2 linked regions of the Arabidopsis thaliana genome follow. The protein of the gene in region 1 interacts with the protein of each later gene in a pairwise test. Each region holds a gene or a part of one and is shown in the gene's direction. Other genes may lie near its edges.

The links.
Region 2: the proteins of MKK3 (region 1) and AT3G50800 interact in a two-hybrid assay, tested with the Arabidopsis thaliana proteins (one large-scale study listed by BioGRID).

Annotation. Positions count from the first base shown.
Region 1 is NC_003076.8:16,178,385-16,186,648, forward strand, and holds MKK3 (mitogen-activated protein kinase kinase 3), read left to right. Parts: upstream 1-3,243; 5' UTR 3,244-3,397; intron 3,398-3,750; 5' UTR 3,751-3,764; coding exon 3,765-3,866; exon of another isoform or gene 3,867-3,905; coding exon of another isoform or gene 3,906-3,953; coding exon 3,954-4,208; intron 4,209-4,297; coding exon 4,298-4,516; intron 4,517-4,614; coding exon 4,615-4,752; intron 4,753-4,850; coding exon 4,851-5,018; intron 5,019-5,029; exon of another isoform or gene 5,030-5,095; coding exon 5,096-5,209; intron 5,210-5,472; coding exon 5,473-5,580; intron 5,581-5,670; coding exon 5,671-6,129; 3' UTR 6,130-6,263; intron 6,264-6,265; downstream 6,266-8,264. Other genes in the region: AT5G40450 (A-kinase anchor-like protein), read right to left, coding at 6,415-6,858, 6,972-7,097, 7,180-7,284, 7,396-8,264. UniProt on the Arabidopsis thaliana protein: MKK3-MPK6 module plays an important role in the jasmonate signal transduction pathway through the negative regulation of MYC2/JIN1 expression. Activates by phosphorylation the downstream MPK6, MPK7 and MPK8.
Region 2 is NC_003074.8:18,880,515-18,886,537, reverse strand, and holds AT3G50800 (uncharacterized protein), read left to right. Parts: upstream 1-3,504; 5' UTR 3,505-3,635; coding exon 3,636-4,094; 3' UTR 4,095-4,426; downstream 4,427-6,023. Other genes in the region: AT3G50790 (esterase/lipase/thioesterase family protein), read left to right, coding at 4,598-4,981, 5,059-5,187, 5,336-5,467, 5,550-5,692, 5,771-5,868, 5,968-6,023.

The DNA of each region.
Region 1 (8,264 bases):
CGGAAAGTTATAGAAAATCTTAGAAAGAACGATACTCAGATAAGACGATAAGAAGTGAGTGGTTATAAAAAAGTGTACTTCAAATAATTAAATAAAACAAAAAAGGTAAAAATCTATTTAAAAGGTAACAAATGTATTAATGAATTTTGTAGAAATTGAGTGGCAAAGACTTTGACTTGTCAAATATTTTTACAAGTCATTAATTTTAACAAATCATTGTTTTCACGTTTTATAGATAATAAAAGTGAGTTAAATATAAAACCATGGGCCAAAAAACCAAAAAAGTACACACTATAATTAGTTAGATAATTGGATGTAATTAAAGATAGTACTTTAGATATTGTTCTAATTTTAAGATTTTGAGATGAGGAGTTATACAATATCAACTTGAGGATAAAATAGACATTTATATTCTTAAATTGTAATAAATAATTATGAAATTATAATGATTTATGAGAGCGTTTGTGTTTAAAAGAGAAAATTTGACATATTACAACACGTGTCATACATGTCATGAATTTATTTCTGTTAGATAAAATTTATTTTATTTTCTTGAGCACTGAAGATAGTTTTTTAATAATATATTTAGGTTGAGTCCATTAATACTTGAATTTAAGTACTCAATTGTTTAGACTCAACTAGTTCTCAATTCACCATCCATAGAAAACTCGTTTATTTTAACATTTTTCCTATGAAAAAATGCCAACCATATTATGTTTTTTAATTATTAAAATAGTATAATTTCTCGTTAAACATTTTGATAAAGTAACGTTCGTATTTTCAGAAATAACATATTTTATATTCCTTTAAAAAACAAAGATTATAGTAAAGAACATTAAATTAACTAATAACTACTCTACTTTTCCATAGAATACTAAATTCCTACGCTTTCTATTAATCTTTAGTGTTTTTACCGCTAAAGATATCACTATATCACTTTGTCAAAAAATCTCAATTTTCCATACATACAAAAAGATTATGTTTAGAAGTCATCAAATCCATAATTTGGTTCACTTAAATACAAGTTGGTGATTATTTGATTTTGTTCGATTTAATGTCATTTTGGTTTCATTTTGTTTTCTAAAATCAGTTCAGTGTTGGTTAAAATAATATAAAATACTTCTAAATAATAATTCAACCATAATTATATAAAAGCAAGAAAAAAAATTCTGAAATTAAATTTCAAATTATTCTAGGCATGTTCTCCAATGTGGCTGCATCCGTCTTGTTGGTTCAAGATGAGTGCTCTTCTGTTAGGTCCTCTATCTAAACATCTTCAACTCCATTTCGTGGATCGATCACCCAATCCTTCCCAGCTGATCCGTATTTTAGTGGTCCTTGTCGCCGACGAGAAGTTTAGTCTAGTTTCTCCATGGTTTGTGTAGCTATTGAGATGTTAACTCTCATGCTTTCAGCCTCCTTTTCGCTGTCTCTATTTGAGCTGCTCATGTCTCCACACTACCTATGAAGTCCGATCTCTACGACTTTGGTGTGAGCTACCCCCTCAGACCTCCAGATCCGCCCCCTCAGGCCCCAAGTTGACCATTCGTTCCAATTTGTGGGAGTTTTCTCCGGTGTTATGACCTATGGTCCTTCCTTTTCTACCACCTCACCTAGCAGCATCTCCTCCATTCACCCTTGTTTGGATAATGATCTTTGTGTCTTCCACTTGCCTCCTTGCGATCTATTATTGTTGTGTGCAGTTCATGGTACTAAATCTTTCCTCTAGCGCATATGTGCAATTAACTGGATACTTCTCTGGTTTATCTTTGTTTGCATTTCAGGCTAGTCTACTTTGTTTCTAATCTAGAATCACCTTTGTTAGTTTATTTTCTGTCCAAATTTGGCAGAGTTTGTTCACCGAATACTTCTTTAGAATCTTCGTGTCTAGGGTTAAGAAAAATCAAACTTTTGCCTAGATCCATCAAAATTTGCTCACCCTATACATCTCCAGCGTCTCCATGCATATGTCTACGGTTGATCCTTCTTGGGTGCATCATCAGAGATCCTTTCATGGTGCAACGACCACCTCCGCCTCACTGTTGAATGAATGGGAGAGAATGAGTATTATTTTCGTCCTTCATCTATGGTGGAGAAATATCTCTGATTTTGAAAACAAATTAGAACCGAAGAGACTTTGCACAAGTTTTAAACAGTTTTGGACACTAACGATTATATGCTAACAAAATATATAATTAGTAAATTTTAAGTTTTGAATATAATTTACGAATATTTTTTAATCCATGAAAAACTTTAAAGAAAATATCTTATGTTGACTTGACACTTTATGAGTCTAATTAAAAATGTACATACAAGTAACATCATAAGTAATTTGATTCCAGAACATCAAGAACCAGGTTTCAGGTTTCACACTTTCGCCCATCATGAAAAGTGGACAAAAATCAAATATTTTATTTGGCATGTTTTGCTTTGATTCTTTTTGAATGAATGTTATTCATCCTAAAACATATTTTGTATAATAAATGTAACCTTATACTTTTTTCCGCCAATGTAACCTTATGCTAAAAGTTCAGAACGTTTATAAATAAAAAGACACCAAAGACAAACAGTAGGGCCTTCAAGCACCAAAGACAAACACTAGGGCCTTCACCAAACCAAATTCTTAAGACATCCTCGAATTTGGTTGTGGTTTCCTTTTGACTTGAAAGTCTGTTCTAGAGTTCGGACGATACGCTCAATGAAAGAAGACATGAGTGAAGGAGACAAGTTTTGTTCCCCATGTCTACGTCTAGGTTTATTTCTTTCGGACCATATGGAATGCACACAAACTTGGAACACATACCGTACGAGGTAGTAAACTGACTTTTATGTTAAAGATGGTTTATGTAATTATGTTACTTTAATTGTTAAATAGTTTTTACGTTTCCATGAATTGGATCAAACGTAATCAAGTAAAAAAAAAAACCTATACTTATAATCCTTCCTTGTTTCATTTGATTTCCTTGCCTTTAAACCACAATATTATTTCTTTTGAGTTTCATTGATGGTGTCTCAATTGTAAATTGGGGTTTAGGGACATTATACAGATGGTTGTAAATTCCTGGAACTGACTGAGAAAAAATAAACTTATGGGCCTGGAGGAGATAGTTGTTGGGCCACTTCTTAATATATATTGGCCCACGAAAACACAATTAACTCTTCGTTTCAAATTTACAAACTAAACTTCGTGCTATCTAATACTTTTAAAACGGCACGTAATTTAGTTTTCAAAACATAGAACGACACAGGGTTATTGTCGGAGTTGCTTCTTCAGAGAGAAACATTAGAGAGGGGTGTTCATCTTCCACATCTCAAGGAGACACCCAAAAAGAAAAACCAAACCTTTGAAGAACGAAAAGGGTTATTAAAAAAGCAACAAACTTTGAGAGTAACAAAGGTAAGTTTTTATCTGTAATTCTAAGAGTTATATCATTTTGGTTTTGTATGATTTTTTTGAATTTGTGAATTTGATCCGTTGATTTAATTCTGAATTTTCTACGATTAGTTCACTGTTATGTTTTGTGAATTATAACTGTTTTATTGACTAATCACGACTTTGAATCCAATTCTATTGAAGGGCTATAAGAAAAACTGAAATTAATTTATAGAAACTTGAAAATTTTGGGGACTTTTCATGTTTTGTTAAGTAAGAAATCTTCTTTTTTAGCTAAATTAGTTTCTTCTAAATAGAAAGTTTTCGAATTTAGAAAAAGGTTGGGGTTTTTTCATTGACTCTTGTCTGTGTTACAGAAAAAGTAGTTATCATGGCGGCATTGGAGGAGCTAAAGAAGAAGCTGTCTCCATTGTTTGATGCTGAGAAGGGTTTTTCTTCATCTTCATCTTTGGATCCAAACGATTCATATTTAGTAAGATTCCTGTGATTTTCGTTGTTAAGAAGTTTTGTTATGTTTCTGGTTTGTTTACTTTTATCTTCTTTTTGTTTGTTTGTGAAGTTATCTGATGGTGGGACTGTGAATTTACTTAGTAGATCATATGGAGTTTATAATTTTAACGAGCTCGGGTTACAAAAATGTACATCTTCTCATGTGGATGAGTCTGAAAGTTCCGAGACGACGTATCAATGTGCTTCTCACGAAATGCGGGTTTTTGGAGCTATAGGAAGCGGAGCTAGCAGCGTTGTTCAACGAGCTATTCATATCCCTAATCATAGAATTTTAGCGTTGAAGAAGATTAATATCTTTGAAAGGGTAATGTTAATCTCTTTTGCTAGTTTAAAGAGAAAAATGTGACTCCATTTAGTATGTGTTTTTGAATATGTACTGATTTTGGTGAGCAGGAGAAAAGGCAGCAATTGCTTACAGAGATACGGACATTGTGTGAAGCTCCTTGTCATGAAGGACTTGTGGATTTTCACGGAGCGTTTTATAGTCCAGACTCGGGACAAATCAGCATAGCTCTTGAATATATGAATGGAGGATCTCTTGCTGATATTTTAAAAGTAACAAAGAAGATACCTGAGCCGGTTCTTTCATCATTGTTCCACAAACTTTTGCAAGTAAAGATACTTAACTCTCTCTATAATGTGCAACATATATATGCGTTATGTTTTAAGTGTATATAAATTCATTCTTAGTGATGTGATTTCATTTTAAGGGATTGAGCTACTTGCATGGAGTGAGACATCTTGTTCATAGAGACATTAAACCTGCTAATTTGCTTATAAATCTCAAAGGGGAACCGAAGATAACCGATTTTGGCATAAGTGCTGGCCTTGAGAATTCAATGGCTATGGTTAGTGATTGTATCTCAGTCTTTCACTCCTTATTAATCCAGTAATCCTTTTTTGATGAGTTTTTAACTTGTATTATCTGAAAATGATGGTTGCAAAGTGTGCTACTTTTGTTGGAACTGTCACCTACATGTCACCAGAGAGGATAAGGAATGACAGTTATTCTTATCCAGCTGATATATGGAGCCTTGGTCTCGCTCTTTTTGAATGCGGCACTGGAGAGTTTCCGTATATAGCTAATGAAGGGCCTGTTAATCTTATGTTGCAGGTTAATCAACTTGTCCCCAAATCCTTTCTTCCGATATATTATTTATATTTACACTAATTACTGTTATGTGAATGAAGATATTGGATGATCCTTCACCAACACCACCAAAACAAGAATTCTCACCAGAGTTCTGTTCCTTCATTGATGCTTGCCTCCAGAAGGATCCAGATGCTCGACCAACAGCTGACCAGGTTGGTAAAACTGAAATGTCATACATTTACCAGTCTAGTACTTTACTGAAATAAGTCATTTTTAGAGCAAATTGTGGTTAAAAGTTTGGTGCTTCTCTTAGTATTCGTCTGTTTGTTAGAAGTTCGATGCATTTCTTTGTATTTATTTGTTTTAATACAAGTCTGGTTAAGAATTGGATTCTTTCTGTTGAATTTATTAGATAATTCCTATAAAGCTTTGCTTTGATTCAAGTCTGATGGTGTTTCCTCTGCTACTTGAACAGCTCTTGTCACACCCTTTTATTACAAAACACGAGAAGGAAAGAGTAGATTTGGCGACTTTTGTTCAAAGCATCTTTGATCCAACTCAGAGATTGAAAGATTTAGCTGATGTAAGTATATGATGATCTTATCAGACTTTTCTTAGTTCGAAAATACCAAATTAAAGTTAACATTAATGATCTTATTGGATTTTTGTTCAGATGCTCACCATACATTATTACTCCCTCTTTGATGGATTTGATGATCTTTGGCACCACGCAAAATCGCTCTACACTGAAACTTCAGTTTTCAGTTTCTCTGGGAAACATAACACAGGATCAACTGAAATCTTCTCAGCATTATCAGACATTCGTAACACATTAACAGGAGATTTACCGAGTGAGAAACTTGTTCATGTCGTTGAGAAGCTTCATTGCAAACCTTGCGGCAGTGGTGGAGTCATAATTCGTGCTGTTGGATCGTTTATTGTTGGAAATCAGTTTCTGATCTGTGGTGATGGAGTCCAAGCAGAAGGGCTTCCGAGTTTCAAAGATCTTGGCTTCGATGTCGCAAGTAGACGTGTTGGCCGATTTCAAGAACAGTTTGTTGTTGAATCTGGTGATCTTATTGGAAAGTATTTTCTTGCTAAGCAAGAGCTTTATATTACAAACTTAGATTAGATAAACACACATGAGAAAACGTTTGTTCTCTACTGTACTATAATGTAACTATGAACTTGTTTAATTACTAACATATGTAATTGTATTTGTTTAAGGTTCATAAAAAGTGCCGGAGAGAATTAGCCAATGATCAGGTAAAAACAAATAACCAAACCAATTTATTGAACATGTGAAAAACCCCACAAACAAATCTGTAATATTCACATATTACAAACCAATAAAAAAAATAACAAACCAATAAAAAACCTTTTATAGACACTGATTGTGTTTTTCTTGTTTCTTCACTTATGTAGGTGATGAAGGCTTTGTTGTGTGAGAAGATTTGCCAGTGAGTACTTTCTTGACCTTAGAAATTGAATGCTTTACCTTTGAACCAACACCAGAGAGAATGCCGTGAGATTTCTTATGAGTCTTGACAATGCTTACTGTATCTTTAGCTTCAACCATCACTATTGAATCTGGACTTGTTTTATCATCTTTATGTTCATGATCTTCATCATCATTCTCATCTTCCTCTGTTTTAGGCTCTTTTTGGATGTGGTCAGATAGTGATTTCCTTGCCGGTTCTTTCAATGTTGGTTCAGTTTCTTTTACTACTGAAAACAAATCTTTGGTGTTCTCAGATTCTTCATCTTTTTTCTGTAGTTCTTCTTCAATCTTTGAATTCTCCAGGCTTGGAACTTCATTGGTTATTTCCCTTTTCTGTTGGTTTGGAACTTCATATTCTGGCTGCAAAAAATGAAAATAAGCTTTTGTTTTCAGGACTTGTGACTTTGAAAGAATTTGTGTCCATTACTTATGGAAAAAGCAGGATAATGATACCAAACCAAAGTATATTGTACCTCTGGTTTGTCTTGTGTTTTGCTGACGGAAGACAAGCTTTCAATATCCCGAATTTCGGGTTGTGTTTTGTCTATCGCATCATCAGTTTCCTTCACATTGTTGAAACTTTCTTGATTTATTTCCTTCTGCAAAAACATGGTTTCTATGATTTAGATATTAAACGAGTATGAAAACAAAAGAAACACTGAATAATGTTCAGGTTCATACCTCTTCTTCTCTGATCTCTTCCTTGACAATATTTGTTTGCTTACCCTCCTCTTGCTCTATCTCTTTTGCAGCTTCGTGATCAATATTTTCAGATGTGTTGTTCTTCTGCGTTGCCAATATCACATTAAAAATTTCGGTCAGCAACAAATGATAATTAGTAAAACCACAGCATCTAAGTTAACGAAATCACCTATGTTTCTTTGCTTTAAATATTACCTCTTCTACGGAAACTTCATGTTTGATTGCATCTTCCATCTCTGCCTTGACATGTTCAACCTCTCTCTTCTCCTCTATTGAGCTAGTTTCTTCCTTTTGTGCTGCAACTGAATCATGGCCATCACCTTTTATTTCATCATCAGGAACTTGCACTTTAACATATGTACCAATATCTTCTTGGACATCGGTGAGATCATTCAACTTGTGTTCTTGTTCTGATATCTCTTTCTCTATTGCAGCAGCCTCAAAATCTTCCTTGGGCTGATCTTGCACTTGCACGTTCGTAATCAAAGCATCAACAGTTTCCTCTTTTTTATCTTCTTGTGCCTTGTTGAATTCAAATGATGTTTCTTCCACCTGATTGGGAGATTGATGAGACTGAATGAGTTCACTTAGATTCTGTACTGGAAGATCTCGGTCAGCAAAGTTCGTCACTGCTTCCGTGTTACTGTTCTCTTGAATATCATCTAGTACTTTTGAGGATGGAACCTTAAGTTCCTCGCCTATTGCTTCTTTAGGGACAGTTTCATCAGCACTAACCTCGTCGCTCTGATCCTTTGGTGCTTGTTCTGTTGGAAAATCCCTATCATCATTGCTCTTTATATCATCAACAGGGTCTTCATGCTCAGCTTCACTAGCTTTCTTGATGACTCCCACTGGATCTGAAATTTGCTTCTCTGATGCAACTACCTCATTCATCTCTTCTTCATTCTCCAGTGCATTGTGAGGTACTTCCTCTTTTTCCCCATCCCGCGAAACAAAATCATTACCAACTTCAAGCTCACGCGCATCTTTGTTATCCTTTTTCACTTCTGATGAAACAATTTCCTGTTCCTCATCATCCTTCTTTTTGTCTTTGATATCAACAA
Region 2 (6,023 bases), on another chromosome or scaffold:
ATGAGATTCCAAATCGTTGGGTTTGTCTCCTCTACGAACGATGTCATGGTTTCCCCTCAGGACTTGCTTTATTTCCAGAAAAATTTATTTAAAAAGAAGAGCAAAATAGAGTTTCAGTCAAAGACTAAAATTTGAGATTGACTTAATTCCAAATTCATATATCCGCAATGCTCTTTCAAATAATGTGTTCACAAATGATGTTTTTCCAAAAACAATGGAGGAAAATTCTTCAGTTTCTTCTATGGACAACGATACGGAGAATTTCAATTCCATTATCGATACTTCTCGTCCTTTGATTCCATTGTCGAGCCGCCGCAAATACATCGCCTTTCCTCGCTTCTCTTCCTTTAAGCTTCGAAACTCCAGGAATGGAGATGTATATGTTGGTTTTGTGATCGGGAGGTGATGGCGGAGAAGGAGACGGGTCAAATGGGGTAGAAGGAGATGGGTCAGGTTTTTAATTTGGTTTAGGATTGGTTTAAGTGGTTTAATATCGGTTTATGTTATAAACCAATTAATCAAGCGTTTATGTGTTTTGAGGTTTCGAACTTTCAAATTAGGGAGAAATAGGACTAGAACTTTCTATTTGTGTGGACCAAGATCGAGGTTGAAATTCTGTGTAGTTCTAATGGTATATGAAACTTCCGAAAGGGACACAGGTCGTTTACCCCATTTTATTACTACAAAGTTACAAAATATTTAGGTAATGATTCATTAACATATCATAAATAAGATCAACATTAATAAAATAAATGAGTTTTTTTACGGGACGGGTTTAGCAAGACGTTACTTAATAACAATTGTAAACTATAAAATAAAAATATTTTATAAATAGATACAATTTATAAACTTTTATATATACTAATTTTAAAAAATAAATTGTTCCCGCGTTATTCCACGGGTTAAAATCTAGTGTGTATACATGTTTTTTTTTTTTTTAGGTTTCAGAGATGATTTAATTTTTATGAAAAATGAATTCAAGGTTAAACAAATTATATACATGCATGTTTAAATCTTCTTCTTTTTGGGGGCCAAACATGTTTAAAACTCGAAAATTGACAAATTTATGTTTCCATTGTCGGATCAATTTCCTTTGGATGATCAATGGGAAAACGACGAGTATGTGTATTATATGGTTGGATTGATTTTTTGTACTTTTGTTGTGTGTTTACGAATATAAACAAGTTTCAACACCCTGTAATTTAAAATAGGTTAACGCGACAAGTAGAAATAGTTTAATGCCGTTTCACGTGGAAATTAATAATTGTAATTTATCGTGTTTTTTATTTTCCAAAATTTTCTTTTATGAACTGTCGTCCATGCGATTGAGTAACTAACTATTGAAACATGTAATAACATAAACAATTTTATAGTCTTTAACCAAAAAGATCCAATTCTATTGGCGTGGGACAGCACATATATAACACTACAGAATGCAAATAGAATATTACCTCTTAAACACTCAACTAATTAACATCTCATATCAATAATGACAATGATTTGAATAAATTTTTATACTATCCAATTTATATATAGTTACTGCAAATCGTAACATTCACTGATCATCAAGTATCAAGAGATCGTAGTCAGTAGGTTTCGTACGCGTGTGTATGATTGACACTGAAGATCTCCTTAGTCTTTTTCTGAAGAATTTATATCTTATTATTGTTATTATCCAATCTCATGTTTATTTTACCTCAAAAAATGTTCGCGATTCAAAATCAACAACGTTTATAACCATATAGACAAAAAAAACAGCTGGAGGGTTTCAAAATTAAAATGTTGTGTTTGGTTACAAAATATTACACACATATTCAACTTTTGATACTAATAACAAAATACTTAAAAAAAGACGAAACTCTATATTAAGAAAAAAAGTTTTGGGAGGTTCTTCTCCGCTAACATGCTCTTTAAGGATACTCTCTGCCAAGTGGCTTTGGCATGCTCATTCTTGCTGACGTACTCCGAGACAAACCCTCTCCATCAGTTTGTTTATGGAGAATTTTCCTCACAACTTTCTCATATGATCTTATCCGCAAATTTGTTATCGAAAAACCCGACCGACCTTTTATTTCTCACCACTTTGGACCTCAATTACTCATTTATAATAACTTTATTTTTTATATGTAACTACACTATCTTATAGTGTTCATTACAAGGAATCCAAAAACTCCATAATCCGGTCATTTCGGTGACGGACATCAACGGAAAAGTCACCGGAAAATTGGCCGGAGTCACATATGTAAAATTGAGTTCCAACAGTTAACTCTCCAGAGATCGAACCATCGTACGTGGTCTATATTTATAAACGTCAATAATTGTTTTTTATATAATAAAAGTGTCATGGTAGGTTAAATAATTTACGCCATATTAGTAATTAATTAGTGGCTAGTCAAATTCTGTTCCATAAAATATAATAGTATGAACACACATTATTGTACTGTATTCATCAATTGGGACTAGTTCTTTCTGATGATCATATATAAAGGACAGCAGAAATCGGACAAAATCAGTGTTATTGTCTTCATTTATCATACGCACAAACTAAAAAATAAAGTTTGGCCGAAACGTGGGTGTTCCTAATCCCAAACATATATGAAAAGCAGAGAATATACTATATCTACTTTAATCGTTACATTAATGTTAGTTTAACTAAAATAGGTTTCTTTTGAGAAAAAAAAGTATAAAGTGGTAGGAAATAATAGAGGTTCATAACTTCATATAATTGAAGCTTATGATTTGATATATTGGTTTGGTTGTTACACAAGTATCCGACTTTAGATACTACAAAACAATTCTAAAAAAAAAAACTTCAACGGAAAGCGATATTCTTCAACAAATCAATCCTACTTAAAATATTTAAAATGTAACAAAAAAAAATTCGATACAGCGTTGATGGACCGTAATACCATATCGACACACAATAATTTCGAGTTGAATTCACATTATTGATGCACACGTTCATACCCAAATTAAATTAAACTAAAACTAATGAATGATGCACGTATATAGACTTAAAGACCCGAATCTCTCGTTAGGTGACCGGTGACCCATGCAACCGAATGAATCTAAATGGGACCATTAGACCGGTTTGGTCCCTACCCATGCTTAGTCTTATTGGCCTTCACGTGAGGCTCCATAAGCCAAGCTTCATGCACCCCATCCGCCGGAAATTAAACCTCCGGCCACCTAAGCTTGTCTGCTTTCTGATTTTGTCCCAAGTCTCTAATGTTTGCACGTGGACACTTTCTTCCTTTCTTCTCTCCTTCTTCGCCACGATTTCATCTCCAATTTTCCAAATCTACCCCTTACATTAACCAATCTAAATTACTCCTTCTAAATTGCATGATGAGGGTATATTTGTAGTTTCAGTAAGACAAATAATATTGCGTGAGCTGTGTCCTGTCTGATTATGAACACTAGACGACAAAAACCTAACGTTACTTGAAGTTTCCGAATCACGAGGCTCACTCATTCTTCTTCTTCTTTCTTCTATATATATATAAAGCCCCACGAGTAGTTTGTATCTCTTTCAAACACACAGACGAGATCTTCTCTCTATCTTTCTCTATCTACAAACTTTCTAAAAGTCACGAGTCAACTCAACGAGTTACGTACAAAGAAGTACTAAAACAATGGGAGCTTGCGCTTCACGTGAATCTCGGAGAACAGAGACGGCGAAGCTGATATTACCAGACGGAACATTACAAGAGTTTTCAACGCCGGTGAAAGTGTGGCAGATTCTTCAAAAGAATCCTACAAGCTTTGTTTGTAACTCCGACGATATGGATTTCGACGACGCCGTTTTAGCTGTCCCTGGAAGCGAGGATCTTCGACCAGGAGAATTGTACTTCGTTTTACCATTAACATGGCTTAATCATCCATTGAGAGCAGATGAAATGGCGGCTTTAGCGGTTAAAGCAAGCTCTGCGCTTGCGAAAAGCGGTGGAGGAGGTTTGAGTTACAACGATGAAGATGTTGGTGAGTGTAGAGTTAGAAGAGTTAAAAGAAACGGTTGCGGCGGAAGAGGTTGTGGTGGTGGTGGTAAAGGGAGGAGAAAGTTCACGGCGGAGTTGAGTTCAATAGCTGAGTAGAGGGGTTAAATTGGTTAGTCAATGTGTAAATTTTGTAAATTGTAATTAGAAAATTTGACTTTTACATAATTTTTACCATAAAAAATATAAAGTTGATTTCGTTATTTAATACAACTAATACATAGAAATGACCAAATTGGGAGACTTTCACGTGGATGAAGTGTTCAAAAGCTACTAATAAATTGCATTTAGTCATTTAGTGGTAAAAATATCAAATCCTCTCTGGCTTTTCTTGGTCAACACCGCGTAATGGTTACATGAAAGACACAGTGTACAGTTGCAAAAAGTGGGGATAAAAGCCCAAGGCCCATTGTTCCTACGGGCATAGCCGCATAGGGTTGAAAAATGTAGTCGCTGTAAGTAAGGATGATTTTGTTATAATAATATATTTCAAGGGCTTTGATTGCAAATTAGTTTAGATTTCCCGACCACATAAATGTTGCTTTGTTTTTTCGGTTAGGCAAATTCGTTGTGGTTACCAAAACGACGACGTGGTGAAGCAAATGGCGAGAGTCGCCTTTGCCACATCATCGCCGCCGTTAATCTCATCAGTTCGTACTCTCCGCCGTCATTTCTCAGTTTTCGCCGCCGCGAATCCAGAAATGTCTCGTCCCTCTCACCACAGCTCTCTCGAAGTTATCGGCGGAGGAAGTGATCGTTTCTTACCGTCGTTAAAGGACTCACTCGCTAAACCGTACAATGCGTTTCCTCTAATCGGATTTAACCGCCACGTGGAGACAATCTACGCATCTTTCTTTCGTTCTGTTCCTTTCGTTAGACTCCGCCGTGAATGTCTCCGAACTAAAGACAACGGCTCTGTTGCTTTGGATTGGGTCGCCGGCGAAGATAGGCACTTTCCTCCTGATTCACCAATCCTCATTTTGTTGGTAACACTCAACATTTCAAAAATTCGATTTTGATTTTGTATTGAGTTTAAAAATCAGAACTTTAAAAAAATGTGTAGCCAGGTTTAACAGGAGGAAGTCAAGATTCGTATGTTAGACATATGTTGTTAAGAGCTCAAAGTAAAAAATGGCGTTGTGTTGTGTTTAATAGCCGTGGTTGTGGAGATAGTCCTGTGACCACTCCTCAGGTTTTGATCTTTCTCTGCTCTTTCTTGGTTCATCTTAGATTCATAAAGTAGCTTCCTTTTTGTACTGTTTCATGGTCTGGTGATGATAGATGAATAGTGCCAATTAGCTTCATTTTGTTACTGAAGTATTATGATACTGCTAATGCAGTTCTACTCGGCTTCGTTTTTAGGAGACATTGGTGAAGTGATTGATCATGTTGTTGATAAATTCCCAAAAGCCAATTTGTATGCTGCTGGATGGTCTCTTGGAGGCAACATTCTTGTTAACTATTTGGGTCAGGTTAGTTATTTTCTTAACCCATGAGTTTGGAAATTTATGTAGGAGATATTACCAAGTTCTTATCTTTTTTAGTTTGTTGCAGGAATCTCATAACTGTCCTCTCACTGCTGCTGTTTCTTTGTGCAATCCTTTTGATTTGGTTATAGCAGATGAAGATTTCCATAAGGGTTTTAACAATGTTTATGACAAGGCCTTGTCGAAATCTCTTCGTAGAATATTTAGCAAGTAATTGTTCGTTGTCCACATCCGTCTTATCTTCTTGCCATTTAGTTATTGTCACATCACTAATTCATCTTTATGCAGACATTCTCTTCTTTTTGAAGACATAGGAGGTGAATTTAACATTCCTTTGGCTGCAAATGCTGAGACGGTTAGGGATTTCGATGATGGCTTAACCCGAGGTTAGCTTTGTCAACATCTACTTATATCTTCTCCTTGATACTTTGAGAAGACAAGGGCATACAGCTACAAATCATTTGTTTCTTTATTTCATGTAACAGTCTCGTTCGGTTTCAAATCAGTAGATGAGTACTATTCCAAGTCGAGCAGCTCCAAA